Linked DNA regions of Drosophila melanogaster. The protein of the gene in region 1 interacts with the protein of each later gene in a pairwise test. Each region holds a gene or a part of one and is shown in the gene's direction. Other genes may lie near its edges. The genes, in order: croc, Ets65A, CG4250 and Eip75B.

What was found.
Region 2: the proteins of croc (region 1) and Ets65A interact in a two-hybrid assay, tested with the Drosophila melanogaster proteins (one large-scale study listed by BioGRID).
Region 3: the proteins of croc (region 1) and CG4250 interact in a two-hybrid assay, tested with the Drosophila melanogaster proteins (one large-scale study listed by BioGRID).
Region 4: the proteins of croc (region 1) and Eip75B interact in a two-hybrid assay, tested with the Drosophila melanogaster proteins (one large-scale study listed by BioGRID).

What each region holds. Positions count from the first base shown.
Region 1 is NT_037436.4:21,471,832-21,479,876, reverse strand, and holds croc (crocodile), read left to right. Parts: upstream 1-3,397; 5' UTR 3,398-3,682; coding exon 3,683-5,209; 3' UTR 5,210-5,744; downstream 5,745-8,045. UniProt on the Drosophila melanogaster protein: Required for the establishment of head structures.
Region 2 is NT_037436.4:6,094,011-6,102,381, forward strand, and holds the start of Ets65A (Ets at 65A), read left to right. Parts: upstream 1-3,606; 5' UTR 3,607-4,461; intron 4,462-6,458; 5' UTR 6,459-6,519; coding exon 6,520-6,752; intron 6,753-6,924; coding exon 6,925-7,301; intron 7,302-8,371. Other genes in the region: CG10467 (uncharacterized protein), read right to left, coding at 1-385; loj (logjam), read left to right, coding at 1,187-1,333, 1,400-1,477, 1,639-1,902, 1,974-2,141, 2,196-2,252.
Region 3 is NT_033778.4:22,660,593-22,667,200, forward strand, and holds CG4250 (uncharacterized protein), read left to right. Parts: upstream 1-3,099; 5' UTR 3,100-3,152; coding exon 3,153-3,321; intron 3,322-3,396; coding exon 3,397-3,529; intron 3,530-3,582; coding exon 3,583-3,685; 3' UTR 3,686-3,882; downstream 3,883-6,608. Other genes in the region: CG42565 (uncharacterized protein), read left to right, coding at 1-269, 477-573; CG42867 (uncharacterized protein), read left to right, coding at 5,092-5,192, 5,255-5,357; CG30273 (uncharacterized protein), read left to right, coding at 6,590-6,608.
Region 4 is NT_037436.4:18,060,485-18,068,754, reverse strand, and holds the start of Eip75B (Ecdysone-induced protein 75B), read left to right. Parts: upstream 1-4,058; 5' UTR 4,059-4,244; intron 4,245-7,301; exon of another isoform or gene 7,302-7,809; intron 7,810-7,900; 5' UTR 7,901-8,270. UniProt on the Drosophila melanogaster protein: Implicated in the regulation of ecdysone-triggered gene hierarchies. Probably plays a key role in mediating the regulation of the larval molt by 20-OH-ecdysone.

The sequences.
Region 1 (8,045 bases):
CCTTTCCACAGCTGGCCACGCCCCCTTCTCAATTCTGCGCAGTCGTTTTTGCGAGTGTATTTGTGTGCCGCCTGTCTCATATTGGCAGAGAGAAAGAGAAATTGTTGCATATTCATGAGAGAGAGCAGCGGAGCGTGCGTTCGTATGCGTGTATCTGTGTGTCGACGTGTATCTGTGTGCGTTACTTTACTCTCTGCGTGCGTGTGAGTGACGCTTATTTCAAAGATCGAAACCGCTTTATCAGCATTTTTCCTGCATTTCCTTTCCTGTCCTTCCCAACGAAAAAAAATTGTATTTTTTTTTGGCTGCTTAAGTCCTTGGTTCAAGTGTCTGATTAGTTGCACTCCCCTGCACTTTAAAATCAATATTATTCTTGGATTACTCACCCGAAAAAAAGAGAAGAAAGAGTTCTGCCCAAAAAGGGCATTGCTAAAATTTAATAATGGGCACTGAACGGCCACATGTTGGCACTCGTTTCTTCGCCGGCTGCTCCTCATTCTGCAAATGCTTCTCCTTGTCAACAGCGGTGTCAACGTTCCGTTGACTGCAGCAAATTGAGCGTGGCAAATGGGCGAGACACATCTACCAAAACTCGCTTTCCACTTGCCAAAATTATGGGGGGGTTGTCATTTCAGTACGGCAAATGTGCTTGCCAAATTGACAAATTTTGTGCTTGTCAAATAGGCGCCCATCAAGGCCTAAAGTTGATAGAACTGCGATTTGTGTTTAATGATCATTTTAATTGGGTAATTAAGGCATATTTCGGAGTCATAATCGATTAACGAAAGATAGTATTTTTCATAGGGCTATGCAGATTCGCGTTTTTAATTATTGAAAGGGACAAGACCAAGGTCATTCTATATCTATAAGATATGTTAGGAATATATCACGTAATAACGACCATTTTTCACAAAACTGCATTATTTTCTAGTAAACAACTTTTACATTCGAGATAAAAGCAGCTTTCAGCTTTCACTGCATTCGCGGAGAAAATGTTAAGTTGCAGTTTTGGGAAACTAAATCAATATTTAGATAGGTCAAATGCAGTGGGATGGCTGCAGATATAGATACAGATACAGATACGATGGAGTGGCAGAGCAGTACGGATACGGACAGCTGTAGCTGTGCAGGATGGGGGATGGGGGAATCGGACAGACAGGCAATGGCAACTACGTAAGAATAACATGAACTGCGCTAAATGCACAGACGTAGCCAGTAGACAGTTACTCACAAAAAACTGCTCACACCCACAGCGAAACCCATACAATCGCAATCACGGCGCCGATGTCGAAGACGAAATTTGTTAAATCAGCAGCAGCAATCCTGAAACTCGAGAGGAAAAAATGAAAAAAATATGGAACGAAACCAGAAGGAAGCCAAATAAAGTGCGTAAAATGGAGCATACGGCGGCGGAGTCGCCTCATTCGAATTTCAAATGCAGGACTCTCATCCTTTCGCATCCTGCAAAGGATATGTGGCCAACTGGACACACACATGACGATGATTCATAGCCTCATCCTCTCCGACAGATCGCATGCGAAAAATTATGTTAAAACAATAAAAATATTTGTCAAAATAATGCGATTGCGTTAATAGAGCCAAATATTATTCTTGTATCAATTACCCAGACGATTGGGGTTTTAAAGTGATGCAAAGCGCTCGGTTTTTGCAGACAGCCACGGAAAGTACAAATAAAAAATAGTCAGCATACTTTTAAATTATCCAAATATAAATATGTGCGTGTTTGTTTTCCCTGTGTCTAATAACCAGACAAACACCCAGCCCATCCCATTCGGCCTCTCGCGTACACACACTCACATCCACACGCACACTTGCCCTTGCCCAAATAAACATATGAAATTTACTTTAAAGCTGACAAAGTCAATAAAAAATATTGTTTTAATAAGCAGAAAATAGAAATGAAGTCTGCGAAAAAAACGACACTGCAGGACTCAACGAGCAGAGGAGTCGCGAGAGGGAAGGACGAGGCCGAAGGACTTTTTATGTTTGACTCTATCGTTATTTGGCTTGTAAATTGGTTAGTAACCCTTTCGATGTTTGGAAATGTGGAGTGAATGAGTATCAAGTCAAAAGGCGGATAGGAGATAACATAAAAACAAGTGCAATTTTAATATGTTATAAATTTATGGTACAAAACTCTACTTGTATTAACTGTTCAATTATTATTATCTCTGATTTAAACTAATCACGCCAATAGAGCAATTTTTAAATAAATAACTCGCTTCATAATAATATTGCAGAAGGGAAAAGTTTTCTACATATATATATTCATTCTTTTTGATATTAGATACATTTTAGATATTAGAAAAATTTCGGTTTTCTTTTTTAGGACATTTTAACATGAACAACAATTTAATGAATCTTTATTATATAAGGATCCTATATATAGGGTGATACAATAGTTCTTGAAAAACTGTGGAAAACATGTTTGTCTAATATCCTGAGTATTCTTGAAATTCTTACCTTAAATAAGCCTGAAAAATTCCTGCCCTTTGCACACCAAAAAAACCATTGTCAATTCAAGCGCCCGAAAAAGGGAGTTGCTAAAAACTTAATGCCTTGCCCTCAACGAAAACAACCTTCAAACGTGGCCCTTAACTTGAACATCTTGGCGAAAACCCATCAAACTGCAAATTAGCAGGCAACTTTTTGGTCTCTGCCTCTCCCGAGAAGACGAACAACTTTAAGCTGAGATCGAAAGAACTTTATCACTAATTTATGCCGAAGTCATTGGAAGGGTGAGTTAAGTGGGTGGTTGGCTCGTTTGCAGCCCCTGGTTCACCACCACCTCCACCCACTTGTGCCTGTGCTGTTGGCTTTCCCAGGTGCCTCTCATAGTTGATGTGGTTCTCGCTCGCTCTTACTACCATTGTATCTAGTATATCATGAATGCGAGATAGAGGGAGCGAGCGAGAGCGGAAGTGAGAGAGAGAGAGGGAGAGAGAGAGAGGGCGATAGGCCGTATTTTAAGCATTAGTTTAAACAACAAAAACAAGGGCTTGGAAAAGCGACGGGTAGGGGAGGAGTGCCCACAGGACACACACCGTAGCTAGCTAACTATTTTTTCCTATACAAAAAAGAAAGCATGAATGGCGTCCGCTCTCTCTCTCTCTCTCTCTCTCTCTCTCTCTTTCTCTTGGCCACACACAGATACTTTCGACGCAGCTGTGTTTGCGGGCCCACTTCACTTACTGACTGCGAGTGGCAGCCATCGTTGGTTGGCTGCAGATACACATGCAGATACGGATACATTGTGCGGGTACACACAGATACTGTGCGGCAGCGGATCGAGATACTTTCTGGTGCGGGCGACGCTCTGCCGACGCAAACGCTTCTGCTCGATGCGAGCTGTGTGTTATTTCAGTTACACAGATTCAGTATCAGACGTGTTACTATACCGAACGGTTCTGCGCTCGCTCTGCGCTCCCATTTCCCCTGTACTACAAATAGATGCATATATATATATATATATATATAGATTTATATATCTGCACTTATGTGAGCGACTTGTTTAAGCAAATATTATCGCTAGAAATAATAAGAAGCAGCCAGTGGTGAAGTGATTAAGTTCGAGAAAGAAAGCAAGACAAAAGCAAGAGAGTACGAAAATACCAGAAGGCGGCAGTGGAAAATCGATCAGAAATCCGCCGGAATCGCCGCCATGCATACGTTATTCAGCGACCAGAACTCCTTTACGCGCCACTATGCCCAGACCGCAGCCGGTTACGGATCCGCATCCGCGGTGGCGGCGGCCAGCAGCGCCTCCGCTGCAGCAGCGGCACATTACGCATACGACCAGTACTCCCGCTATCCGTACTCGGCCAGCGCCTACGGCCTGGGTGCCCCGCACCAGAACAAGGAGATTGTAAAGCCACCTTACTCGTACATCGCCCTGATAGCCATGGCCATCCAGAATGCGGCGGACAAGAAGGTGACCCTGAACGGGATCTATCAGTACATCATGGAGCGATTTCCCTACTATCGCGACAACAAGCAGGGCTGGCAGAACTCCATTCGGCACAATCTTAGCCTCAACGAGTGCTTCGTGAAGGTGGCCCGCGATGACAAGAAGCCCGGCAAGGGCTCCTACTGGACTCTGGATCCGGACTCCTACAACATGTTCGACAACGGCTCCTTCCTTCGCCGGCGTCGCCGCTTCAAGAAGAAGGATGTGATGCGGGAGAAGGAGGAGGCCATCAAGCGGCAGGCCATGATGAACGAGAAGCTGGCCGAGATGAAGCCCCTCAAGCTGATGACCAACGGCATACTGGAGGCCAAGCACATGGCCGCCCATGCTGCCCACTTCAAAAAGGAGCCCCTAATGGACTTGGGTTGTCTAAGTGGCAAGGAGGTCTCCCATGCCGCAATGCTCAACTCCTGCCACGACAGCTTGGCCCAAATGAACCACTTGGCTGGCGGCGGAGTGGAGCATCCCGGCTTCACCGTGGACTCACTCATGAATGTGTACAACCCGCGGATCCATCACAGCGCCTATCCCTACCACTTGAACGAGGACAACTTGGCCACGGTGGCCAGCAGTCAGATGCATCATGTCCACCACGCTGCGGCGGCCCATCATGCCCAGCAACTGCAGCGTCATGTGGCGCACGTGGCCCATCCTCTGACCCCCGGCGGCCAAGGAGCGGGAGGCCAATCGTCCGGACACTCGCCCACCACGATCTCAACTCCGCATGGTCCCGCGCACGGGGGTTGGTATACCCCGGAAACGCCACCATCGGAACCCGTTCCTCACAATGGGCAGCAGGGCACACCCACCCACCCGGGACATAATAACAACAACAGCAGCAGCGTACTCAACCACAATGGAGTGGGCAACGGTGGCGGAGGCGGCGGCGGTGGCGGTGGAGGATCCTCCAGCGTGCTGACCAGCAGTCCCACATCGGCACTGGGTTTCCGCGACATGATCTTCGAGCAGAACCAATCCTGCCAACTGGACACCGGTAGTCCCACCGGCAGCCTACAATCCGCCAGTCCACCTGCCTCCGCATCCGTGGCAGCGGCATCAGCGGCAGCAGCGGCGGCGGTGATCAGTAGCCACCACCACCACCATCATCACCATGCGGCGCTTAGCGGGAACCTGGGCCAGCTGGGTCAGCTGAGCAATCTGAGCCACTACCGACCGCATGTGGGCCACTACCAGGAGTACGGCATCAAGTACGGGGTGTAAGCCTGTGGGCTGGATTCTCGGCGACTGGGCTGGGCTCTCTTGTATATTCCTGTAAATACATACACCATATAATATACCCAAGAACGAGTCTACACAGCCTGGGGGTGGTGATCCCTCGGGGTCCAGAGTCTGCTATCTCAGATCTTTTTGTTTCCAACTTGTTTTCGATTTATCCGTATACGAAATAATGGGGGACATAGCTGTTAAGCAACCGCATTAACGTATTGTATTGTATTAACTGTATTTGTAATTGTAGCTCGTAATTGTTATCGAATTTAGGCATAGTCCCAATTGTCTGCTACGCAATTTGTGATGGGGTTTTGCTACACAGAACATAAACTTAAATTAGAGCATTTTGTCAATAACTAAAACTACCGCATCGGATCGATCTATCATCGCCTAGTACACTAGCCTAGCCCACGTAAGCAATAATAAATTATACAACTAAATCGTAGCTATAACATAACTATCAAAACTAGCGTACCACCAATATGAGCCGAACAAAAAGTGTATTGAAAATATGTTAAAATATCTCAAATCGTGTGTTTTATTTGGCCCCTTCATATTCGGAGCGACTTTCGCTATTCCATCTGGCCATTGAGCATTTGGCTGGCAAAACAGACTTTTTACCCCGAAACTGGATAGCCCGCACGCAGAATTCCTAGATAAATAATTATTCAAGGCGTGTCCGTTTCGAGCCCCGAATGCATGACTCAACTGGCCAATTGTCACTGGAAGATGGCTTTCTGGGTAGCCGTATCATATCATTTGGACTCACTCGATCAGTTGGCTGCAGTTCCGATGGACTTGCAAACGTGGACATATGTCGTTTGTCAAGCGATCGGATAGAAAACACTTCCCCCCTTTCAGTGGAAATAATTATGCATTCGACCTTTTGGAATAATAAATGAAAATTTCCAGGAAATTGTATGCTTCATATGCACGACTAGCTATCGAAAGGTATTTACAAAAAAGGGTAACTTTAGTATTTATAATATTATATTCACTGTTAGATTGTGTAGTCTGAGCTTCTTTCTGCTTAAAAACTTGAAATTGAGGATCCTTTAAGCCACTTTATGGCAACTGACAAGATCGTATTGTATCCAGAAGAATTATATTATTATTCCCCCCTAAAAGTGTCATTTATAAACGAAAATGTTAGCTTTCTCTAAGGTTGCCGTCCAACAATGGCCAACAAATTACAAATCTTTAGTTAAGAAAACTGTGCCCCCACAGGGAACACTGTAGCTGCTCCTAATTGCCAGACAATTGCCACAAATTGGTAGAAAGTAAAACACCAGCCTGCGCAGCGTGAGTGAGTGCGAATAAATCAGTATGTTGAGCTTATTAGCCAGCGAAGTAACCAGTTACCCAACCAACGCCAAAGATCGGCAGATGAAGCGCCACTGATTGATGGCCAAAATACGCTGTTAACTTGGCGATGACGATGGGCAGCTGGTCATGGTCTCGTCTCGGAACTCGGCTTTGGATTTATTCCAATAAAGGCTGCTCGACGACATTGTCACTTGAGTGAGCGCCGCTTGGCGCCACCGCGGCATTGAGATCGCACTCGGGGAAGAAATCTGGTCATGTGTGTATCTGTATGGCTCTCGATTTGTGGCCCAATCTCCGCTCAGGTGCTTCGCAGCTGGGACGGCTGCTTTCAATGGCGGACACCGCTCGAACGCCAGTCAGTCAATAGGTTTGGCTAGCTGTTCGTAGCCCCAACAATGGAATACCTGGCTGGGTGGCATGTGAATGGCGCTCGAGTGCCAGCCAAAAGTGTGCCAAAGACTGTAGTAGGCCTGAAAGTAATCTTCGAATGGAAGACTCCACTGAGCATGAAGGGCTTGATTTTTGGTCAGATGGTTGAAATTTTCAAAATCAAATGGGCAGCGATATTGGTTGTATCTGCCAATTCAAACTGGAAAATGTAACAAAAAATATTTATAGTTGGAACCACCATTAAAAGCAAACTACATTTAAGAGATGAAAGAAAAGGATTTGTAGCGTACCGAAAAATGTTTAAATTCTTGATCATTAATATTATTATTTACATTTAATTATTGGAATGGATTAGAATGTTCACATATCCCCAAATACTGGCAGCCAAAAAGGGGCATCTCCTATCTCAATAAACTAGGCTATTCGTATCCAAAAGCTCAATATTTTCAATCTGAATATTTGGCTGATCGGTAGGGGAACGAGTTTGGTATGCAAATTCAGCACTTTTGGCAGCAAATACAGTCGGCTGGGCGGTTGACAGCAAAACTGCCATTCGATGCCATCCGGAGTCTCCATTCGGTGTGAAAAGCAACAAAATTAAATGCGAAAACAAAAAGAGTCTGGATGGAAAAGTGGCTGTATGTTTGCTTGGAGTGCAGCCGTCGCTGATTGCGCGGGTGGTCCAGAATTTACAAAACTGAATCGGAATTGGGATTCGGGAATCGGGAATAGGGAATAGGGAATCCTCTGTAGCGCAACGCCAGGCGGAGGACAAGAAAAATAAATGCGATGGCGACAAAATGTTGCACTGTTTGCTTAGCGATAAGGACGCGCCCACATACACACACACACACACACACACACACCGATACGCACACACACAGGCAGGGAAACTCGCAGGACAACAATGCCAAATGCCCAATAATCCAATCGAGCTAAAACGGGCGGAATGGTTTTCGGAATGGTTGTCGTTCGTGCCGCTCACAAATATTGACAGCTGTCTCTGTGGCTCATCGCGCAACCAGCCCGATTTACATAAATATTGTTGCAAGCCTAATTAAATGCAAGTATTAGCCGGCCAGCTGCCAAATGTGCTGCAGTCACAAGGATT
Region 2 (8,371 bases), about 15 Mb from region 1:
CAACTTCCCAGTGAGCCTTATCGAAGCCTACAAAGCCGCCATGGAGCTGAAACTTGTTGTCTCGGTTCTTAGACACCTGAACTAGCTTTCCATCAAGATAAAAGCTGCCATTGGCAATCCGGTTGCAAACCCGCCCAATGGTTGCTCCAAAATACGGATTTCTCTCGCTCTGATAGCCCGCCAAATCGTCAAATCCGAGGGTCACGTCATCTATTTGACCGCTGGCATCAGGCGTCTTTATGCTGGTAATGGTGGCTCCACGGGTGATCAATTGCACGGACATTCCAGCTCCATTTGTCAGGGTGAACCGCTTGATGGTGTCCTTTGACTTGGTGAACGGATTCACCGCTCCGTTGGCGAAGACGTCTTCCGTGACGTTGACCATTTTGGATCCGGCTGCAGCTGTGGAATGATTACGAGTGCCAATTGCACTGCGTTTTTATCTGACCCTCTCCAAGCCGTAAAGGTTAATCAGCACTCGATGTGCGTATGTGTTTGTTTTAATTATCGCAAAAAAGCCGCAAACAAAATGTACATATGTACGTACATATATAAACAGATCTAGTTATCACAAATTGGTGGGAAAGTCTGCGATAAGGGGGATAGACACCTTGTGGAGTCTTTAAGAATTGTGCAATGTTCGTATTCCAAATTTAGCGGTAATTCAGAAAATTCTTACTTAAATTATCTTTTAATCGCCGTAGTTGCAATTCAAATTTTAGAGTTGCCTTACCTATTTTAGACCAGCTGTTTTTACATGTGCGTAGTAAGTAAAAATTCGCAGGGGCTTGTTTTAGTAGTTAAAAATTTGTTGGTAAAATTTTTTGATATTTGCTTATTAAGCCTTTTAAATAGAACAATTTTATTAACATACTTGAATACAATATACATTTTTTTATATATATGTTTAAATGCCCATCTTTGCTACACAGTGGTGGCAGTTGCAAAGATCTGGCAGCCCTGCTCTAGAAATACCACACAGCAAATAGTCCACCTCTAAGCAACAGGTCGGTTGTTTATTGAATTCGTTTATTTAACTTTATGGGTAGTTTGGCAAATAGAAAGCTAGCTAACCGGTGCAGTTAACCCTTTTTGTTGACAGAGAGCTCAGAGGAAACGGCAGATTAGATCCCCCTGAGTTCATCCCCACCCAGGCACCACTAATCCGACGAGTATAAATCCCAAAATGCAATTGACGTGGCAGAGAGATCAGATAAATCTAGTACTTCCGATTGCTCTGATTTGTTGTTGTCTTTTGATCGACGTAACCAGCGCTCAGGAGGCCCAACAACCATGGTACGAGAATCTGCCAGCGGTGGCCATGGACTATAAGGTGTGTGCTGATTTTAAGACTCCTCTAGAGCATCAAATTTCACCGGGAACGTGGTTTCTCTTTCAGGTTCACATAGATGCTGGTAAGGAGGACTGCTACCATCAGTACGTTAAGGCAGGAGCCACCTTCTACGTGTCCTTTAGTGTAAGTTGATAGAATTTGGGATCAATAGCATGTTTCCGATCCAATGGATGGGTTTCCCCTTGAGCAGTCTGTGATATTCTAAAATAAATCAAATCGAATCCATTAATACAGTAATATAATCTATCTAATACAATGAAATTATTCATATAAATTTTTTTTAGGTGGTGCGCGGAGGCGATGGAATGGCTGGTTTCGCCGTCCGCAATCCTGCTGGTGAAGTGGTGAAGCCCTACCAGTGGCAGGCTACTGCGGACTACACGGATCAGGTATCGCCCGGTGGCTACTACTCCGTCTGCATTGACAACCAGTTCTCCCGATTCGCTGGCAAGCTGGTCAACATCTATATCACGGTGGTGAAGTACGATGCATGGGACAAGTACGCCAAGGAGATCGAGCAGCTGCAGCTGAACATGCAAAACTTCACTGTAAGCCAAACTGGTTTTCAGACACACCCAAACATCCATTTACAAATATTCACATTGATCTATTTCTTTAGGCCACCGTTGGCACTGTGGAGCGCAACATCAACGATATGATGGGCTATCAAGCCCACAGTCGTCATCGCGAATCGCGTGATTATGCGTTGCTCCTGGACAACAATGCCTATATTCAAACCTTCTCGATTAGCCAAATTGTGGTCATATTGATCACGTGCTCTGTACAGGCGAGTATAGACATGTTTTTTGCTTTTCCTAAATTAATAACCTAATATTTGCAGGTATTCTTTGTGCGCAAACTATTTGAAGTAAAATCGAGCTCCAAAAGTCGCATCTAAGGCGCAAAGATACTTTTCAAAGACTTCGCAACATGTTTCTAAAATTCCATCCGCATTTCCAAGACATTCATTCTATTCTACCTGCTGAATGAGTTTTTGTAACTTATTTTATCACTGGCTAATTGATCAAGCGCAACTGAGCAGACTTTTTTATAATTGGGACTACTTATGTCATACGAGTTATAGACAGCAAAACTTATTGTGATAAGTGTACATTTGTGTGTTTTGTTTAATTAAAAGATTGAAGATTTTTGTATTTGCTTTGTTTTATTTGGGAAAGAACCTTAAGGATTTATTCGAAGCCATTTGGGTTTGTTAATTTACTAAAAGCTCTACAAGCTTTAAAGTTAAGCTGCTTTGGTAAGCTCACTTAACCGTTAAATTTCATTATCCTGGAAAGGATTTTAAACTTAAAAATATATAATTCAGGTTGTTGTTTTAAGAAACCTGTTTTTCTTTTTATATGGGAGTAAGTTATTTTCAAATTACGACATTGTTGCAAAGACATCTTCTCGTTGCCTAAAACCAATCTTAAATATTAAATACATGCTGTACATGAGCTCATTAGTTTAAATTGAGAGCTGAAGACATTTCGAAGACATTCCACAACTTGGGCTGGCAAATTAATCACCCCGAATGCCGCTTATCGCAAATTATCCTGCCCCATCCATCGCAGGACCTTAAATCATGTCACCAGGCTCACCGCTTATCTAGACGTCATTTAGCACATGTGTGTGTGCTCTGCAGCAGCTGGCATGTTAATTATATCCTTTTTGGCAGGCAGCAGGAGCATCTGGGTATCTTGGCGGGTCTTTTGTGGCCACTGCTGCTCGAAATTAAAATGTTATTATGCGAGGCTTATCTGCGGGCCTTAAAGCCACCGCAAAACTAAGGTCCTAATGGCCTCGCACACCAGCACACGCTCTTTAACTGTTTTAAACGCCATTGTTAAAATATTGCTCATACGCACTTCCGCCCAAAATGGGGTCTTCTCTCTTCGGCAGCACTAATGATGCCCCAAGAACGCGGAGCAAAGGACCCGGCGAAAGGCAGGAGCATCCACAGCCATAGCCACATCCACATCCACATCCCCGATGGCACAGAGTTGGCTCCGCCCACCAGCAGCCGATGACAGCGGCAGATAACAGAGCAGCGGCAAAGTGGGCGGTGGATGGGGTTGTGGTGCGGAGAGCGCGCCTGCGCATTAGCCGCCGCAGAAACGCAGGACGATGGGGTGACACATCCTCGGTGATAGCGCCCAGTTCCCCTGCCACACAGAGCCACCGCTTGTGGGAGGAGTGTGTCGCCATCTTTGAGCGTGGACTGGTGACTGGACGGGATGATCTGGCCGCCACATTAACTTGGAGTGCGCGCTACCAAGTGCAACACGTCGCGGACGACATAATAGCGGTACTTTGCGGTTTAGATTCGTCGGTCACACGTCGTCAATATTCCCGGGACAAGGACCAAACTAGCGAACCTTTCTTGGTCAGCACAAGCGGCAAACGAAGGCACAAAAACCACAAAAAACACAAAGCACACACACGGCACACACTTGTACACTTACACACGGCAAGCAGTGCGGAAAACTTGGACACATACGCCCAGCTTGTTGCTGGCTGTGGGCGTGGCAGCGCACGAAAAAGAAACAGACAAGGACACACACATGTGTCCTGCCAGTGTGTCGCGGAAATTTTTGTGCGGAAATTATAGAAATTTCGCTTTTTGATTTCATTTTCGTTCCGCTTTCGTTGCGAACCTCTCACCCCTCGCCACCCACCACCACCCACCTTTTGTGCACCTGCACCTGTGCGAAAAGACATCGAGAAATGCCCAAGGAGCCCGCTGCCGTCGGTGTCCAGTTGGCTTGGTGGTCGTCGCCGTCATCGTCCTTGCAGTGACAAATTTCCTTGCATATCCGCTCCAGGACTACGAAACTTTGGCTGCAAACAAAACCGTCATTTGCGTGGCGCGTCGCTGTCGCGTTCACTTGTCGCATATCCGTCGCCATTTTGACAATAATTTCATTTCCGGTTGGCAATTTGTACGCACTTGAGTGAGTGATTAACTGCACCGATTCCCAACGATTGTGAAGTGTTTAAGATTACTAAGTTGTAACTTAAGTTGTCCCGACGGAAGTTTAAGAGACAGTCAAAGAGGAGACTTATTTTTGGATAAACTTTATTGCACATACAGGCACAATCCTGAGGTGAGTTATGTTCGAATTATAGAATGATCAACATGATTCAGAACTCCGACGGGGTCCTAAATAACTAATGTATTTTTAAGTGCTTTGTTGAACCAAAGTTGAAGTAAATTAAAGATAATATCGTAACGGTAGAATTTTATTCAAAAATTGAAAACATACTCCTAGGCTTAAATGGGGAAAATCTCCAGCATAAAATGGGGAAAATATTAAATGCATAAAAATATTTGAAATGTACGAATTCAGAATACCAGACATGTTGAAGTCTATTTTAAATCTAAAAATTTATAACCAATGTCAGTAAAGAATAATTACAATAATAAACTTTAATATTTTGATAGAATTTATTTCGAATTTCTAAGATATTTGTAAACTATGATACTTTCTATTCAAACATTCTGATCTGATAAATTAAATCCACTTACATAGAATTTTGAGCGCTTAGATACAGCACCTGTGAACTTAGATGGTTGCTTTTAATTTCTAACTAACGACAGTTATCCAACCCCTAAAAAGCTCACCCCACCATCATCAGATAATTGTGAAGCATATGTTTCTGCTAATCGAATTAGTAGACTTAAAACGGAAGTATTCATAAACCAGAAAAAAAGCACATCAGCAGCATCATTGGGTAAAAGCTTGACAATTAAACAGCAGCACAGTTTCATCAACCAGTCGGCTGTGCAAACATTCAAAAATCCTAATTTCCTAAAATCGCATAAAAATCTTACAAACCATTAAAGAGCAGCCAAACGTGTGGCCTCTTAATTAAAGGATCTCTCGTCCAACAAGGGGATTACACCATTAACAGCTGTCGAAGAGCATAAACTCGGCAATCACAGCGATACCAAGTGGTATTCAAAGGACTCAGCACGCGCTGCAGAACGGGACGAGCATTCAGCCCATCTGCAGACCGACATCCTGGCATCCCGCTCGTATTTCCGGTGTGCGCGCGTTCGCTCAGCGATTGTGATAACTTGGGGAATACAAGGATACCAGAATACAAAAAAAATAAAATGTCTGCCTGCTAATGTTCGCTGGTGAAATTTGCCTACATGCAAACGCAGCCACTCGGCCTGAGTACAAATAATAAATAATAAATGAGGCGTGTGCAGGCCGTTTATAATGTCTGACAAGGCGCAAAGTTGATGATGTTCTGTAGATGCGACCGTTTCGATAACGAAATCTATTTACTCCTCCCGGCAAACTTAAAGCTGCTGGGGTTTCAGTTACAGTTTTCATTTCGGGTATGTTTGGTGTACTTTAAGCCAGAGACAGGACAAGTCGCACTTTGTATGGCATAAATTTCGTTGGCATAAATCAAAATTCAGCAACTTCCGACGAGGGCAGAGTGCAAAAATTTGCATGCCCCCTGTGTGTGCTAACTGCAGACTGGCCGAAAAGGGCCAGTAAACAATGGTTCGCCTTCCCCAGCTTCGACCAGCTGGACATTAGAGAGCCACGCTCAAATGGCCGCCACCCACGCACAGTTCAACGCTCATACGCAACGTTGGCCCAGTGCAAAAAGCGGGACTGTACACACAATAAATAACGAGCCAGATAATTATGCACGTCGTGCTTATATCTAAGGGAACACTAGCTCCACAGCTCCAAAGTAGCCACTATTAATTATGCCAGAACATCGGGGGGGTTTTCGGGTAGCTAGCTTAACGTGTTGGGGCCATGGCAATTAGAGCGATTGTTTGGCCCGAGAGGCATTCTAAAATTGCAGTATTTAATTGTGGACCACGCGCTATGATTTATTAATATCTCGCTCTGCAATTTGCCATGAGGTGAGTGATGGAGTTTACTTGGACTTTAAAGCAATTAAATCTTCTGGTTTGACTACCAATAGAGTACAAGAGTGTATGAATAAATATCTTAAGTTTTAGTAACTTATAAGTACTAAGTATTCATTTATATTCATTTTCGTTTGTAATTTTCGCAGTTTTATAAGTACTATAAAACCAATTTGTTCTATCTATTACTTTCTCCGGCAGAGTCAAGTGGAATCCCTTGTTTAGCCAACAGCCACCCATCGAGGCTCCCCAGGCGTGCGCCATGTACGAGAACTCCTGTTCGTATCAGACGGCGCTGGACCTGAAGAGGGTATCGCCACCGACTCTCGCCCAGGTGAAAACGGAGGAGTGCCTTGCACTCGGACAGTGCTCGCCAGAATGGACCTCGTACCGCTTCCATCAGTCCACCTTCGAGCAGCTGAAGCAGAGTGTGGAGAAGGCCAAGGCGGCGCTGCAGGATCGCAGCAGTTTTTTCGGGGCCAGCAGTGCCTTTAGGTGAGTAACATCTTAAGATGTAACTATTTTGCACTAAATAAAATTTATAAACCATTTAACTTGGAAATCTTACTTTAAAAGAATTTTAATCTTGAATTCAGAATTATAGTTTGAGGTCTTATTAATTGGTATTATGGTATATATATCTTAAATGTATGTTTTCCAACCACAGCGACATCTACTCGAGCCAGCGCTTAACGGACTCCCTCGACACCCTGCCCGTTCAGTCCGGGAATGGAGGCGGCAATTGCCTTGGCCTTCCACACAATCCCAATGTCGGAGTGGGCGTGGCCGGAGTGCTCAACTACAATGCGGTCAGCAGCAGTACGGCCGGAGTTCTGAGCAGCAGTGGGAACGGCGTGCAGAGACATCGGTTGGACACACTGCAGCCGCCATCCGGGTGCTCTCCAGCCGTCACCCAGCACGGCGTCATCACGTCCAGCGCCGGACAGGTCACGTCCGGAACTCTGGATGCGGTGAGTGCGGCTCCAGCACTTCCATCGCTAACAGCGTCCAGCTCCTCGCATGTGGAGCACAAAGTCAGGGCAGGTAAGTGAATTTAATGTGGCAGAAGCAATAGATTATACATCGAAAGAAAGAACTATTAATATAATAATAAATTATATACAAATAGTAGACATTTTCGAAATGGGAGCAATCTGTCTTATTTTTAAAATCATTTAAATTATATTTATATTAAATAAAAGTAATCATTAAATTAGATGAGATGAGGGTTATACTTTGCTTTATCTACCTAACTTTTTTATAATTGTTTTTTGTCGTTTTTATTTTCAATTAACCTCATATTGAACACAAATTATTATATTTTCGTTCTTATATTGTTTCTTAACAAATATGGTCGTTATATAAATGATTTATGCAACAAAACGAACGCGTAATACTTTGTAGTGCACCAACCCACTGACCTTCTCGCAATTGTCTAGCACAAAACTGTCAACGAAATGGCGGAAAAACAAATCCTGCGCTTCCGGCCAAGGCAAAACGGACCCAAGCCGAGAAAAAAAAGCTGCCGAAAATGTTGTGCCACAAAAGTGGCAAATTTCGCGTATTTATTTAAACACATCCAGGCAGCATATGTTGGCCAATGGCCACCCCCGCCAATTGCCCTTCCCAGTTGACCAACCACCAAATATGTCCAGGGCCGTAACATTTAATGGCCAAAACAACGGCTAAAAACCGCGACCAGCCATGTACATAATTCTGCTCGTTGTATCACCAACAATAAGAAGCAAAAAAATTGGGCAAAAAATTTTAAATTGAATTATCCATATAAACGTTGAGGTCTCCCAGGGTCGGTTTCTATTCCTCTGATATTTTCATGGCTGGTTTTTATTTTTTTGTTGGCTTGGCTAGGTTACATATTTATCAATTTAAGCCGGGGCAAACGGATGTGGCTTATAATGCCGCCCGAAGCCGGTTGCTGTTGACTGTTTGCGGTCCTTGCCAGGTTTTGATAGAAACATCAAAAACCGAACAATTTCATCGCGTGCCTGGCAAGAGTTTGTTATGCCGCCTCCGACCGTCAAGTTGTCCATGTCCATTTATTTCTATAAGAAACTTCTTTCCTTCTTGCTATCTTTTTTTTTTGGCAAATTTAT
Region 3 (6,608 bases), on another chromosome or scaffold:
GATCCATTCGCCACCGCTCCTCCAGCGGAGGACGTCATGCAGCAGAACCTGGCGTCGCCCGCACATCCCAATCCGGTGATACCCGTGATGGCCCAAACCATGCCGGTGTTGCAGCCCGTAAGCGTGATGCATCACCAGACGACAGTGCTGGTGGACAATACCCGCCAGGGAACGATCTGTCCCCACTGCAACGCTCGGATTCGCCTTCGCGTGGAGCACCATCCTACCGGATCAACTTACTGTATGGCGGCGTTGCTCTGCCTATTCCTGTAAGTAGATCGCATTTATGGTTGCAAGTATAGCAACAAAGGTTTGTACATACATAATGTGTATGTAAGCAAACGGAAAAAGAAATGTTTTTACTAGTCTGCTATATCTGTGGCCGCAATTGTTTTGCTTCTTCCTGGACAAGCTATGAGAAATTGCTGATCGTGCCTTATAAGCTATATACTCTATTTCCCATCTCTATCCACCAGATGCTGGCCCTGCGTCTGCGCCCCTTGCTGCTGCAACTGTTGCTACAAGACCTCCCAGTACTGTCCCAACTGCAACTCCTGCTTGGGTTCGTTTTGAAGACGCAGCGAAAACACTCGCCGATTTCATATCATTTCATTTTATATATATGTATATATATATACATAACCAACTATACATACATATATGTATGTATGTTCATATCTCCTTATGTATCGACGGCGTCAATGTGGTGTCTTCATCACTTAACATACATAAAAATATGTTTGCTTAGTGAGCAAAATAAGCTGACAGCGAAAAAATAAACAAATAGATTTTGAAGCGAATGGAATTTTCTTTAATTTCTGTTTCTGGGTATCTGGCTACATTGTTGCTGCAGACAACTAGATTTGCAGAAAAAATAATGTGAAACTTAATTGTTCATACGTTTTTTTTTTTTGTTTTTGTGTACTTTTTGGCGGTCTTTTCCCGAAACTTTTTCGTAGCACAACTCTTTTGTGTCCAGCAATAAATGTTGATATGAAACTGTTTTGAACCGGTAAAATGTTGCTGGGACGAACCGGCATGTTGGCACAGTTTAAATTGATGCTAAGATGCTTCAAGATTACTGTTCATGCTATTAAATGAAATCACTGAAGTTCTTTGCATTATAATTGAATATTTAGTAAAATATTTGAATTTCTGCTAAATGTTTAGTTCTTAAGAAATGGAATAAAAGGATTTTAATTTAACTCAGCCTAGGGATACGCTGTAATCAATTTTAAGGATGTATATAAATATCACTTCCCAGTTAGGCAACATAATGTTGCTAACGGAAATACTTTTGGAAGTGTAGTGTCCCGCTTCGCGCCCTAAACTTCTGACCGCACAACACTTTCGCAGCCCAAACAGTGCGCATTAACTTTTTGTCTCTCTGTGAAATCGGAATTCTACTTTATTTATTTTGACAACGTACCCACCCATACAGATTGTAAGTATGACGGGAGAGATATATTATGCAAGCCTAGGATTGGGTCAAACATGAGCAACGGACTATTATAGTCAGGTCTAATTGGGTAATATCTGGTTGTTTAGATGTTTACCGCTGCTTTGCCGCTCCCCAAAAAATTTACTTTTGCTTGGGGGAGAACTCAGCAAAGACATACAGGACGACAGTAGGATTTCGGGGGGAATGTTAATCACTGGCGACGGACACACCCGCTGTTAAATAAGGATACTGTGCTGGGTGGTTTGCGCTAGTGAGAACATACATAAATAGATTGTGTTGATTTTGGATAGGACCAGACCGAGCAAGCAAGTTGCACCAAACGACGAGCAAAGATGATGGATGGAATCGGGGTTGAGCGGGGCTCAGACACACGCGGTTGTGCGATGACGGCGTCGGCACGAAGCTTGCCACATGGCACAAGAGATTCCGTGGCCCACGAGGATGACCTCACGGCGGCAGGAGGGATTGCGCAGCACCGTGGTGCCATCGACGGGAGATAAGGCGGATTACAGCTTGTTTTGCATGGCGGGTGTGCAATTAAAATCCCCATTAACCAGCCAATTTAATGCTCATGCACCAGCGGCACGCGACGTATTCAAGTTTTCAAGGTCTGCGCTGCAATCAATATGAGAGTTATTAGAGTTTCCTGTGCTTTCTTTCTGCAGCTCCGCCATCGAAATGTCCACTTCCGTTGGCCCGGAACCGTGCATCGTGGTCTGCCCCAGTTGCCGTCAACAGGTTACCACTCGTGTGGAGCCGAAAGCCACCACCAAGACTCACCTGATAGCATTGATTATGTGCCTTACCTTGTAAGCCATGTTCGATATTGATTTCTTAACATTCTGGGTGCATTCTCATTGAGTGATCTCTTTCGTGCAGCCTTTGGCCCTGCTTGCTGCCTGTACTGCACTCAATGCGCCCGGAACTCCGACCACCACTGTCCATCTTGCAACGCCTACATTGGCACCTACGAGCGCTGAGCAACTTCCGCCGGAAGTTGTTTTTTTTTTTTTGTCGTGGACTGCAGCCAGCAGCCGTGCCGAAATGCAGCCCCCATTACTTATCCCCACTTGATCTATTTTTAACTCTCTCACATTTATTACTACGCACTATTTTGATAACAAAACAAATCATTGTAGTGCCGGCATATGTATTCTTCAGCACACCAATAAAAGGGTTCAAGGAAGAAACGAGTGGATTTTACCTGGGGGTTGATTTGTTTTAGAGACAACGCAATTCTTGAGCAGAGTTGAGTATTTCTTATGTTTTCAATAAATATGCAAATTGTTGTTATATACGTGCTAATAGCATAGCTGGAAGGACCATTTCGGAAGGGTAAAAGCTACTGGTTTGTTTACCTGACAATGGAATACCCTACTAAGTGCTAACATTTCTGTTTTATTGGTAAGTTTTGATATTAATTAATTCATCATGGCTGAGCAATTTCTTACTAAAGCTTTTCATCCTGCAAAAAAAAAAGAACACTTACTCATGTAAAAGCCCTTATTCTGATAGCCACATAATATTTAACGGAAATCGCTTAGCAAGCCATCCGACATAGTAGGGCTATATAGAATTCGCATCGCGCCGCAACTCGAAAGTTCGCCGAGCAATGTTGGAGGAGCTCTCTGCGGTTTCAGTCGCTGTCGGCAATTCAAACGCGTAGCACACATCGGTCGGAATAATTAGAATGGAGAAGAACTTTCAATACGAGAATATGCAGCCTCAGGCTCCGGGTTTCCAGGCACCGCCCAGTTATGATAGCGCACCGCAGCAGGTCTATCCTCAGCTCCATCAGGGACAGGGAGTGATATTGCAGGGTGAGAATACAGAGAACTATGAATCAATCGGAAATAATGGTCAATTCTTCTGTGCAATTCAAACATAAAATATAATATCGCATATTATACGAAATCCAATCGTGCCTCTTTCAGCTCCACCCAATGTCCTGGGCCAATGTCCATCCGTTGCCACTTGTCCGAGCTGCGGCGTCCGCAGGGAGACGAAGGTGGAGTTCGAGCCCAGCACCAAGACCCACCTGTTGGCCCTACTCATCTGCATGCTGGGGTAAGTGCAGCCCGTTTGCTCCACCTGCCCGCAGGACTAATGGCCATTTTCAGGGGCATTTGCTGCTGCTGCATTCCGTACTGCACCGACTCCTGCCAGTCGGCCAAACACACCTGCACCAGCTGTGGAGCCTACGTGGGCACCTACAAGAACTAGAAGTGCTATCTCAACACCAAATATTACAGGGATAGATCCCACTTTGTATCTCCACACCTATTGATGGGATCAGATTTGGCACGAATATTCACGAAATACAACTCTGGTTCAAATCAATTGAATATATGTATGTAATTTTCGCATTGGTTTACTTTTCAAAATAAATTTCTAATCACACAAATTGTTGGCGATATATGAATGTTAACACTTTCGTATATAATATTAATAAATCCCGGAAATTTCTGAGGCGGGAATATATTATAGATATTTTTATCTGAGGTTCTGCATCCTACGCCCTTTATATAACTTCATTCACATTGTTGATCTAACAATCGCTGCCTCTTCTTGAAACTGGATATATATATATATATATATGTATATTGAACAACTTATGTCAATGAACAGTGGAAAAAGGTTTGTAATTTAATACCTAGATTTTATATTTCCCCTCTTCGAATTAAACACTAAACAAAGGAATAGGGAAGAAACAAGGTAATTTGATCGCTTATCCGTTTATTTGATTACAACTTTTTCTGCAATAATACCAATAAAAAAGATGGGCAACAATATTTAGTTAATTTCATATAATTTAAAAAATGTTGGCAACTAGTATCCAGATTAATACCTGAAATGATGCAAATTCGATGTCCAATTTTATTAACATGTTTATATAAGTAAGTTATTATTCAAGCAAGCGGATTTCATATTTGCCGAGATTCATCAGCTTCGCTGATTCCAGCAGTCAGTATTATCATTTCAGTTCAGGCAAATTGAAATGAAATGCGAGTTCAGTAAATTGAACTTGAGCTGCGCTCTAGACGTCAGCGTGAAATGGAAAACCCAGCGTAATGTTATGATCAGGGTAAAAACCAAAGAATTCCAACTCCTCCTCCTATTTCACAAACATCGCGATAATTCAGACTTCTGTACAACGATAGTTTGTGAAACGTGCAAATTCGAGTCACGAGTGTCGAAAGAAAGCGTTCTATGAGTTATGAAGACTACCATAGATGGATGTGTTATAAGATACTGGTAAATTATAGTGCTTACAATGTACGATAGATATACGATAAATAACTAATATCGCAATTATATTCCAGCAACGAATGTTTGCTCAAAAATTGGGTGCAAAGTCAAAACAATGTAGCAAAAAACATAAAAATTGATATTTGAAATTTACGCAGTTATCAACTTATTAAATCCATTCGAATACACAGTTTGCAGTTTAAAACTGATAACAGAGTGTATAAGTATATATGTAGTAGTATTTTTAAATTTCTCTGATACGCTCATGTGTATGTTTCGTTGACTTCATGAGAATTCCATGAGTCACCCAATTGCAACATGCAACCGGCAATCAAACTGCATTGCACAAAAGATAGTTGAAGCTTGGAGCTTCCAGTGAAATGTCGACAGATTCGAACTGTCCCAACTGCGATTCACATACCATGGTGAGGAGAAGTCGCCTGGCTATCTCGCGATTCAAGAAGCTTAAGATGGATTTTTGGTACTTTAGTGCACATGAGAAGATATTACTTCAACTTCAACTGAAATGTTTATATTTGCTAGTGCAATATGCTGCGGTCATCGATATTGTGGAGTCGGCATTTATGAATCCTACTACAAATGCAGTTCCTGTGGCTGGAAAGGCGATCCTAACCGATCCCCCTAAGATGGCATACGAATCTCAATCTGAAATAAAATAGGAATGCTGTTGCATTTCTGTTTACCACAGAGTGCAGATGAAATATATATACACGAGCTTTTGAGCTTTGGAAATGCACTTTGAAAAATTCCAAAGCAGCAAGCCTATACATGAACTTTAAGTGTAATATGTTTTAAGCAATAAAATACGTATTTATTTTTCCAGATGTCTGGAGCTCGGCTTGTAAAAAGAATTTAAGATAAAAGTAAGGCCTAGGGGATTTTATTTCCGGCATCTTGAATTGTTCGATATACTAGAAATACTCTTGAGAAAAGCTTGTTGATAACAGTGGGGCCTTATCAGTTCAGCTTGGACTTGTTCCTAGAATTCGGGAGTACAGTTTTGAGGCTTAATAAATAGAAGATTAAATGAACTTAGTTCTGAAAAGATGCCACGCAAAAGCACACCAGCATTCAAAGGACGGTCCGCGGAGGTTTACAAAAGTTTATCCGAACCGAAGGCTACAATTCCGAATTCTGGAGCAAAAGATACGTCCCAAGTATGTCTTAATTCCGAGGACTTCAAGTTGTCGTGGAGCCAAAGATTGTGGTTTAATACGCTGTATGTTATTCTTGAGCTAAGATTGCCTTCGTCCAGATGAAATACAGTTTCAAGTTTGTCTTATTTTAGATCCTTTTGTTGCTGCGGACAACCGATAAATAAAAATGTTAGTGATAATTTGGATGAGTAATGCAAATTCTAAAGACTTCAATAATTTGATTAAATGTATGCACATATGTAGAATATTATTAATAAAATAAATAAGTAAAGTACAATAACTGCTCTTGACTCAGCTAATCATTCTTATCTGTATTGACATTATTGCACAGCACACGACAAAATTGTCAATTGCATATTTATTTAGATATGTAATTGTATTAGCTCATCTAGTTTTAACCTGGATTATCATTAGTTAATTATAATAAAATCTTGGGCGATTGAAGGAAACAAGATTTAAAAGTCCAGTACTTAATACTGCGCTTTCCTCCTTCCTTGAACATGATTTCAATTGACAATCGAATTTACTCTCGCTTTCAACAAATTAAGTTGCTTGACTTGGTTGGCGCTCAAAAGCAATGCAAACAAGATACAAAGCTACGACAAAGAGCTTTTGCCAGCAACAATGTTGCGCAACAGCAGTCGCAAGAGTAGTGAAACGCAAGACTCGGTTTCAGTTCGTGACTACCAACCAAACGAAGATGCAGTACAATCAGCAGC
Region 4 (8,270 bases), 3.4 Mb from region 1:
TATCAAGATTATCATGAAAATAATGTTAGGATAATACCAAAATATATATGTATGTTTCAAAAAATTCTATATTGATGTTGTTTTTTATCATTTTGGAGAAGTATATAAATGTGAGTATATATTCGTCGTTTAAAATATATATTAATTAATATATACTATTAAGCAAAAGAGATATCACCAAATATTTAAAGCAAAGCCATGCACATGGAACAATTTAAACAATATGACTAATACTCGAGCAAATCCAAGCCCCACACGAACTTTGAACTTGCGCCTGAACTTGAGCGCCATACCCATCCATTTCAATCTTGTCCTTTCCATCCAGGAGTGCGTGTCAGGTGCAATGGACACGAGTCCCGCGCAGGTTCAACAACATTGGCCGCAAATTCCGTGGCTTACTCATCAGGTAGTTGGGCGCTGGTAGCCTAAAGTGGGAGTTTTTGGAACAATGATTCAACTTCAGGTTGGGTTCAGGTTGGAATAATACAATAGAGGTGAATAATCTAAACTTGTTCACCTCAAGCATGACATCCTTTATTTAAATATACTTCCAAAAAGTGGAAGATTGTGTATATATTAATAAATTAATTTATATTTGTCCTGATTTTATGTTACAAAGAGAAAAAAAAATAAACAAAAATTCTCAGATTATCGATTAGCAACGTTGTAGGGATTTTTGTGTGGCTGCAATGTCGAAAATTCCCATATTTTCAACGAGAGGAGAAGCTCTAAGGGTGACAAGGGGATAAACTCTTGCTAAACCCAAATATTGCCACTGAGTCACCGACCCGACGCCTGCTCCTCTGCCATAAATAAGGAGAAATACTCCCTCCGGAGCTCCTTGTCTCCTGCTCTGCGGGTCCCCATGAAAATTAGTCTCAATGAACCCTCTGGAGGCGAGTGACTTATAGCACACTTTTGGCCACGTTAACGCTTTGACTTGGCCGAATCAGTTCAATGCACGCACATTGACCCAATAATTGGCCCAGGCCCGAAATTTCATTTTGTTTAGTTTGTTTAGGCTATGTAAATTCGGACTTGCTTTATTCGCTCTGGTCAACAGTTTTACTAATTGGCGTAGACAATGTTTTTTTCTATGTTTAATTGCGTACTACTTTTAATCACAGTGAGTGTCTGCTTAAGTAGAAAATGTATGGAAAAATCTTTTATTATTGATACAGAATGCTTGCTAAAAAATATTTTCTATATGAACCTCATTACGTATTATACCCAATATTTATTATTCAAGAATATATGTTGCTGTATTTATTCTTTGCGAGTTGCTTCTAAAATGCAATCCTCACATACAAAATGTATCAATTGTTATAAATAAAAGTTAAATTTACATATTTTAAAATATTATGATGATAACATTAAAGCGTGCCAAACATTTGCGCATTTTAGTTCGGATCTGGGCAAGGACTTGTTTCTGCTGACCTTTTAATGACCATCGGTGCAATGTCGAATTTTAGCGACCGCGTGAGTGTGGGTGACACGTGTGTGCCATATATCCTTGCACTGCATCGGTTGCATTCAGTTTACAATTTGTCAAGGAAATGCAAAAGAACTGCAGTGTGCAGCCCTGAAATTAATCCGCTTCACCCGGTACCCACTATATTTGTTTTCTCCCATGTCTGCCACCTACTACCCAATGTCATTTACAGGAGCTTTACGCCTGCTTCATCGAACTGTACAGTAATGTTTAACAATGACTGACAATTTTGTAAAATGAGGGGTAAGTGAAAATTCACTTAATAGAATTGTAGTATTTAAGCGTTGGATGGAAAAATATTTAAAATGGTGCCCTCTATCATACAATTTATATTAAGCAATTTGAACTAGTTGTTTAACTATACTGAAATTTTGGCTTAGATATGCATCATAAGGTAATACAGGAACTTGTATCAGTCTATAGTGGGCATCACTGCCTTCCCCACGCTTGGGACCTTGGCAATGAGGCACTTCCAGCCATGGATCCGAATACGAAACCGAACCAGAGCCAAGGACCCGACTTCGGATGCGGAAATGCGCATGCCTGCGTGTCCTTGCCCTTGGTCCTTGGTCCTTGGTCTTCGCCCGATGGAGCAGTAGTAAGTCTCGTAGTGCCCCTGAAAACTCTTTTAACCTTCGTGCAGCCGTGTGGCAAGTGCATCGATGCAGCTCGCAAACATGCGCTTTTGCACATCCGCTCTATGCAGAGAGAGAGAAAGAGAGACGTTTTTAACTGGATTCAGATTGGGTTGACGGGGGCATCCTCTTAAAAGGACCAAGGGTGGCGTCTGGTTGCCCCTGCCACGTGTCGCCAGTTGCAAATTTCACGACGCTGTCATTGACCATGGTATTTGACCACTATTGTATTAGGGCTGCCAGGGCCAGTGTCTCAATGCAACGCCCTCGTTGCATTTGGAGGTCCTCAAGGAGACAGATTCGGTTCCAAAATGCCCCAGAAGACTGAACCTGAATTGGCAAATGTCTGCAGTGGTATTTGCAAGGTTAAATTACATTTGCTATAGTTTATTTGTACAGTCGTTAAAACTTAAAATAATAAGCATCGATATTCCATAAAATAAAATAGTCAATATGCAATTTCAGAGTTTCTATTAAAAAATTATAATAGTGTAGTCACGGGGGGTTTTCTTGAAACGCTGTCCGGGAACAGTGATGATAAGTTCTTGAAAGTTAATCCCGTCTTGTCAACAACAATGGCAAATAAGAAAATCAAGGTTACAAGATGCTGTTCCCTTCAAACCTATCCCACAGCGTGAAAGACAATGAAAGCCAGATCCATAAGAGTGCAACCCCCGATGCTGGCTAAAATCGAAGCTCATAAAGGAAGTATCTCTGCCTGGGACCGACCTTACCAAACAAAAAGTAGCCCATCGAGTGTCTAGGAAACCGCTTGTCCTCTTACTCCTTTCTCGCCTTTTCTGCTTCGCGGCCCTTTGATACCCACTCGCTTTCCACACCCCAAGTCCAAGAGTCTGAAGTTTGCTTTCATTTCGTTGCCCGAGGGGTTGCAACTCCAGACAGACAGGGACCGACAACCAGGATCAGAAAACCCGAGAAATCCACCCACTCGCCGACTTTTTGCAATTATTTTTAATTTCTGTGCTACGACAACTCCCGGAATGCCAAAACTTTGCAACCCCAAAAGAAGCACGCAAAAGGGGCAAGTCACTCCAGGCGGGAACCACGATATGTACTACTGTACACGTCAGAAACATGGAAATAAGCTTGGAAAGCCCGGTACAGGGCAACTTGAAATGTTGCGATATCGAGATCATTAATTTGGCCTGTCTAGTTGGATAATGATTATTTTATTATTTCTTTTTATTGATAGTTCATCATTTAATGAGTTCCTAAAAATTTTAATATAGGTTGGTAGGGATTTTTATTTTTTTCCAAGCTAGTAGTAAAATATATTTGGGTTATTAAAGGATGAAATCAACACACACCTTCCATATGTTCCACATGAAAACATCAGCAAATTTCTAAAAAATTCTTTCTAATTTAGCTAAACCAAAAAAAAATTAACATAATGCTCTAAAGAACTTGTTTAGTTGTTTAATTGTTTAAATAATTTTTCAAGTTTCAAGATTTCAGATTTCTTAAACTGAAAAATTAGCATGATTTCGATTTCTTTCTAGCGGGCATCCACTGTGGCGACGTACACGTCCGCGCCTGAGTTCCATGTTCGGCGTCCATTGCACCCCCAATCTGCTTTGTACATTGACTTCTCTGCTCCGCTTTGTTCTCTGCATTCGCTGCAGGTTCTGGCTCTGTCGGCCTTCCGCTCTGCTCTTTCTCTCTATCACTCTCTGTAATGGTGATGGTGCTCTCCCTTTTCTCTCTCTGTAGCCACTGTGCATTCCCATACCACGACCTACCTTACCCACACCCACAGTGCGCTGCCGCTGCACAACTCCCGCCCAGGCAGCGCAGTCGGCGTCGACGGCGACAGCGCAGTTCGTTTTCATATTGAAAGTAGAATTTTTCACTTTTGCGAAAATTTGCAGTCCAGTCTCGGTCTGGTCTCAGTCATTTTGAATACGTCATGTGGAACGCACCGTCACCGTCGCGTTCCGTCCTCTGTCGCGCTTTTCCTCTTCTGCGCAATCGTCTTACCAATCGGCGGTTAACTTTCGTTTGTTAGCACCAGAATTCGATCGGGACAAATAGCAATCCTCTGAATGCAGATACAAAAAGTATCTGCGTGATGCGTCCGAATAAGTGGTGAACTCTTTGTACGTGAATTGGATTAAGGCAGAGTTGTGTGAGTTTTGTGTGCCAATTCGATGCTATATAAATATCACAAGTAACAAGGGAAGCACAAGGACAGTCTTTTCAATCACAATCAGAATAGTGCAAACAATTGCCAAAGTTTAAAATTTTAAGCTGTGACAATATTAAATACAGAAATATCTATAAAAAAATATGGTGTAACATATTATTGTGTGCAAGTTAACACTCGTCGTCATTGAAAATAATTCAACTAACAGAAATCCTTTATATATAGGATTTGTGAAACTGATCTATCTTTAAATAGAAAACTTATGCTTAAACTCATGAACCATTCAACAAAATTCACTTAACTGCGCATAACTGAACGATGTTAAGCATATACATATGTATAAGCATTATGTGACTCATGAAAGCATAAAAAACGGTCAAATAATATCAAGAACGAAAAATGTGCATAGAAATGCTCTCAAATTGTTTTAAAATAATAAACGAAGCAAAAAGTAAAAATATAAAATTTGAAATAGTTGAACAAAGGTTTGCGAAGTACTTAACAGTTCATACAATCGAAAGCCTAAAAGTTAAAAGTAAATTAAAAGCAGGTTGCTAAACTAAACAGAACAATACGAAAACCGACAAACATAAGATAGAAAAGTGATCATTTTATATTGCACAAAACCATGTATAAGGGTCGCATGACCTTTAACTCTCGGATATCAGGCGTAACTAAGTCCTCAATTAGATGGTTAAATTTATTGACCAAAAAAAACGAACTCGAAAGCACTTATCCTTCCTGCTGAATAAGCTCCTTTTTTGGACCCATTCCCCGGCTGTCTGACTCATTCCACTCGGATGAAACTCCGTCTGGAGTTGCAACCCTCATTAGAGGCGAGCCACACCCCCTGCAAACAGAACGCAGCCCCACCACCCAACGCCCCCTGGCAACTCCGCTGAAATGCAGAGACCCCAAGAAAACAGAGGAGGAAAGCTAACAGGGGATCTGCAGCCCGTTAACAGAGCGCTGCTTGCTCAACTGTAGACGCCCTGTTAGACTCGCCTTGGTGTGGGTGAACTTGAACACACATACACTCACGTGCTCTATTTCTCTCGGCGCTCTCTTTTTATTTGCACTGCTCTCTTGCTCGATTTATTCTATTTCAAGTTCTTATTTTGCAATGCAAGTGTGTGCGATGTCGTTCAGTGTTAAGGTCAATACATTGCCGCCTCGTGCTGTGGTGTGCGTTTTTGATTGTAGTCTGTGTGTGGGCTTGCACTTGAAGAAAATGTGTAATCAAAGTATAATTTTTTATTTAACCGTAACGTTGATTTTCACTTAAATTTACTGTGGCTAACAACATAGATTTAATTATTATTACTAACCAATTTTTTTTAAATTAAATAAGATGTTTGAAATCAATTAAACACAACTATGTATGTGATTGCAAAATATTCGAATAAAAGCATCATTTTATTAAAAGTTTTATTAAAATAAATTGTTATATTTTAAAAGCCTGTTCAACATATACACTCTGTCAAATGGTTGCAGCTCGTGAGGTTGCATTTTGTTTGTTGATTACGCTGCTATTGAATGTTGTCATGCACACGCGAGTGCACACACTTGCACGCCGAGTGTCATCGCCTTTGCTCGTTTGCAAATAGCGGTTTATTCGGCGCCTAGCGTTTGTATCTCCGTACATTTTTCTGGAGGTCTCCCCCACTGACGTTTGCGGAAACTTCCGCTATATGGCCGCCATCGAATAGACAGGGAATTGTGGGGCATGAGGCATCATCTCATGGCGCTTGGAAAAAATATGCATTTGTTTCGCCAATGCCAGATGATTGCTCTGATTTCGTGTTATAGACAGGTGAAAGTAAGCGATGTTGATAATACTTCTTATTAAGTATTAAACTTTTGATGCTTAGTGATAATGAAAATGATAAATTTATTAAATTAAAGTTATCTGTAACAAGACTAAAGTAGAACAGCCTTTGTTTTTATAAATTTATGTTCAGATAAAATGTTTGTAGTCACTTTTTACAGGATGAACATTCAAAAACTTTCAACAAAACATAAAAGGCCAAGCCCCAACCCAAACTAATTTAATTTTATGCGCAATATTCCCTTTTTTGGCAATACAGCTCCATTCATCAATTACGAGCAGACCCCGAACCTACCTCAATGCGTAACCCTGCCCTTACCCAGAGAAAATAACCCAGTGTAGCCCAGACCAACCGAAAAGCGCAACCCCACGAAAATCTCTCCACACGCACATTACTCATACGCACTGAAACACGGAAGTTGAGTCCCGTCAAGTGAAACCCCAAATGGGAAGCGAGCAACCCCCGAATAATCAACCCTTAGCCACAAAAAACTCCAAAAACTCCCCCTTGAAACTGCCCCAGTCCAAATTTTGTTAACCCCCATCGCAAAAAAAAAGTTTAGAAAAATCCGTGTGCGTTCTTCTCTTTTGGCTGGCTCATTCGCGTTTATTTTTGTTTATTTATGTTTTGCTTTTCGTATTCTTCACCTCAGCTTCCTCGTACGCAGTCGCTCTCTCTCTCCGAGCCTCTCGCTTTCGAATTCTTCCCATCTTTGCAGTCGGATTCTCTCATTTTTCATACGGTTTTCACTTTCATTGTGCAGCTTTTTGCGCGAGAACCGACTCGCTTTTTTGTCGCTCTTTTCTGGTTCTGTTCTGGCTTTCAGAGCTTTTGCTGTTTCAGTCAGAGAAAGTACGGCCAACGCAACGGTTGCGAATATATTCCAACCTGTCGCGATTCTAGCAAATAAACAAAGCCCCACTGGCCGAGCAGAGAGTGAAAATATAAGGAAAAAATATATTGAAAAATATTATAATAAATATACATATAGTGTCAATAAATCGGGGAAATGTGCAATAATTATGGGAGCTCGCCAAGGTCCCTTATATAAGCGATAGCCCATTGTCAAGGGCGCCAAGTGTTTTCCACATTGAGCCGTGGCCGTGGCCGTAACCGTGTCCGTGTATCGTGCTCGTATCGTATCCGTAGCGCCTCGTGAGCGTCCTTGTCCTTGTGCAGGCCGAACAGCTGCTTGGGTCCTATCCTGTCCTGTTCCGCCCCCTTCGGCCGCGACCTCGTCTTCGTCCTTGTTCTTGAACCGCAGTCCTCCAAAAATATCCGCTGCTACAGCAACTCCGCCCTGAAAACGACCTTCCCGTGCGCCCAGCTGTTGCTACCGACCACCCACTCGAATTCGACCCTCAGCTGTTGGCCATACGATATACGAAAAAGAGGAGAGAAGTTTGCTAGCATTAATGTCAGAAAATCGGAGATATCGCTAAAACAGCTGTGCGATTCCTACGAAATCATTATATTCGTCATCCTTTCGCAATGTGCTTCAATAAGTTGTTCCTAATAAACAAATTCACTCTGCGATTGCCTAACACAAAGGTCAAATGCCAAAAGAGACAAGTGTAAGAGCCCAAAACCACAAAAAATAAAACAAACGAAGTAAATCAAATTGAAATCAAAGTGAAAATTCCCAATGAATGAGCTTAAAGCAGTTAAACAAACAAAATTTAATAAAAAGTGGCCCTTAAGCATCCATTTAAAGCTCACACAACACCACTAAACAAACACAAACCAATATACAAAAAATCAACTAATTATATTTTTCTAGAGGTGTTTAAAAAAGAAACAACTACTACATGGAAGTATAAACACGGAAATCTAATTAAAAACAAAGTGAAAGAAGTTAATGCTCAGGTTAAAAAGTTTATAACAAAAAAGGCAACAAAAGCGTTGTGTTTCATGTGCAAAATCTTAAGAAATATCTATACAAATAAACACATATATTTTTGGAATAAAATTACTGATACTAATCATAATAATAAATCTTGTGAATCGTGTAACTTGTTTAAAATAAAAAGTAGTGTAAGCAGTGAATATATATTACAATTAAATTCATTTATAAACAAACAAAGATTAAACCTTATACACACGTAAATACGATCATTAAATATATATATTCTTATACACGATACGATTTT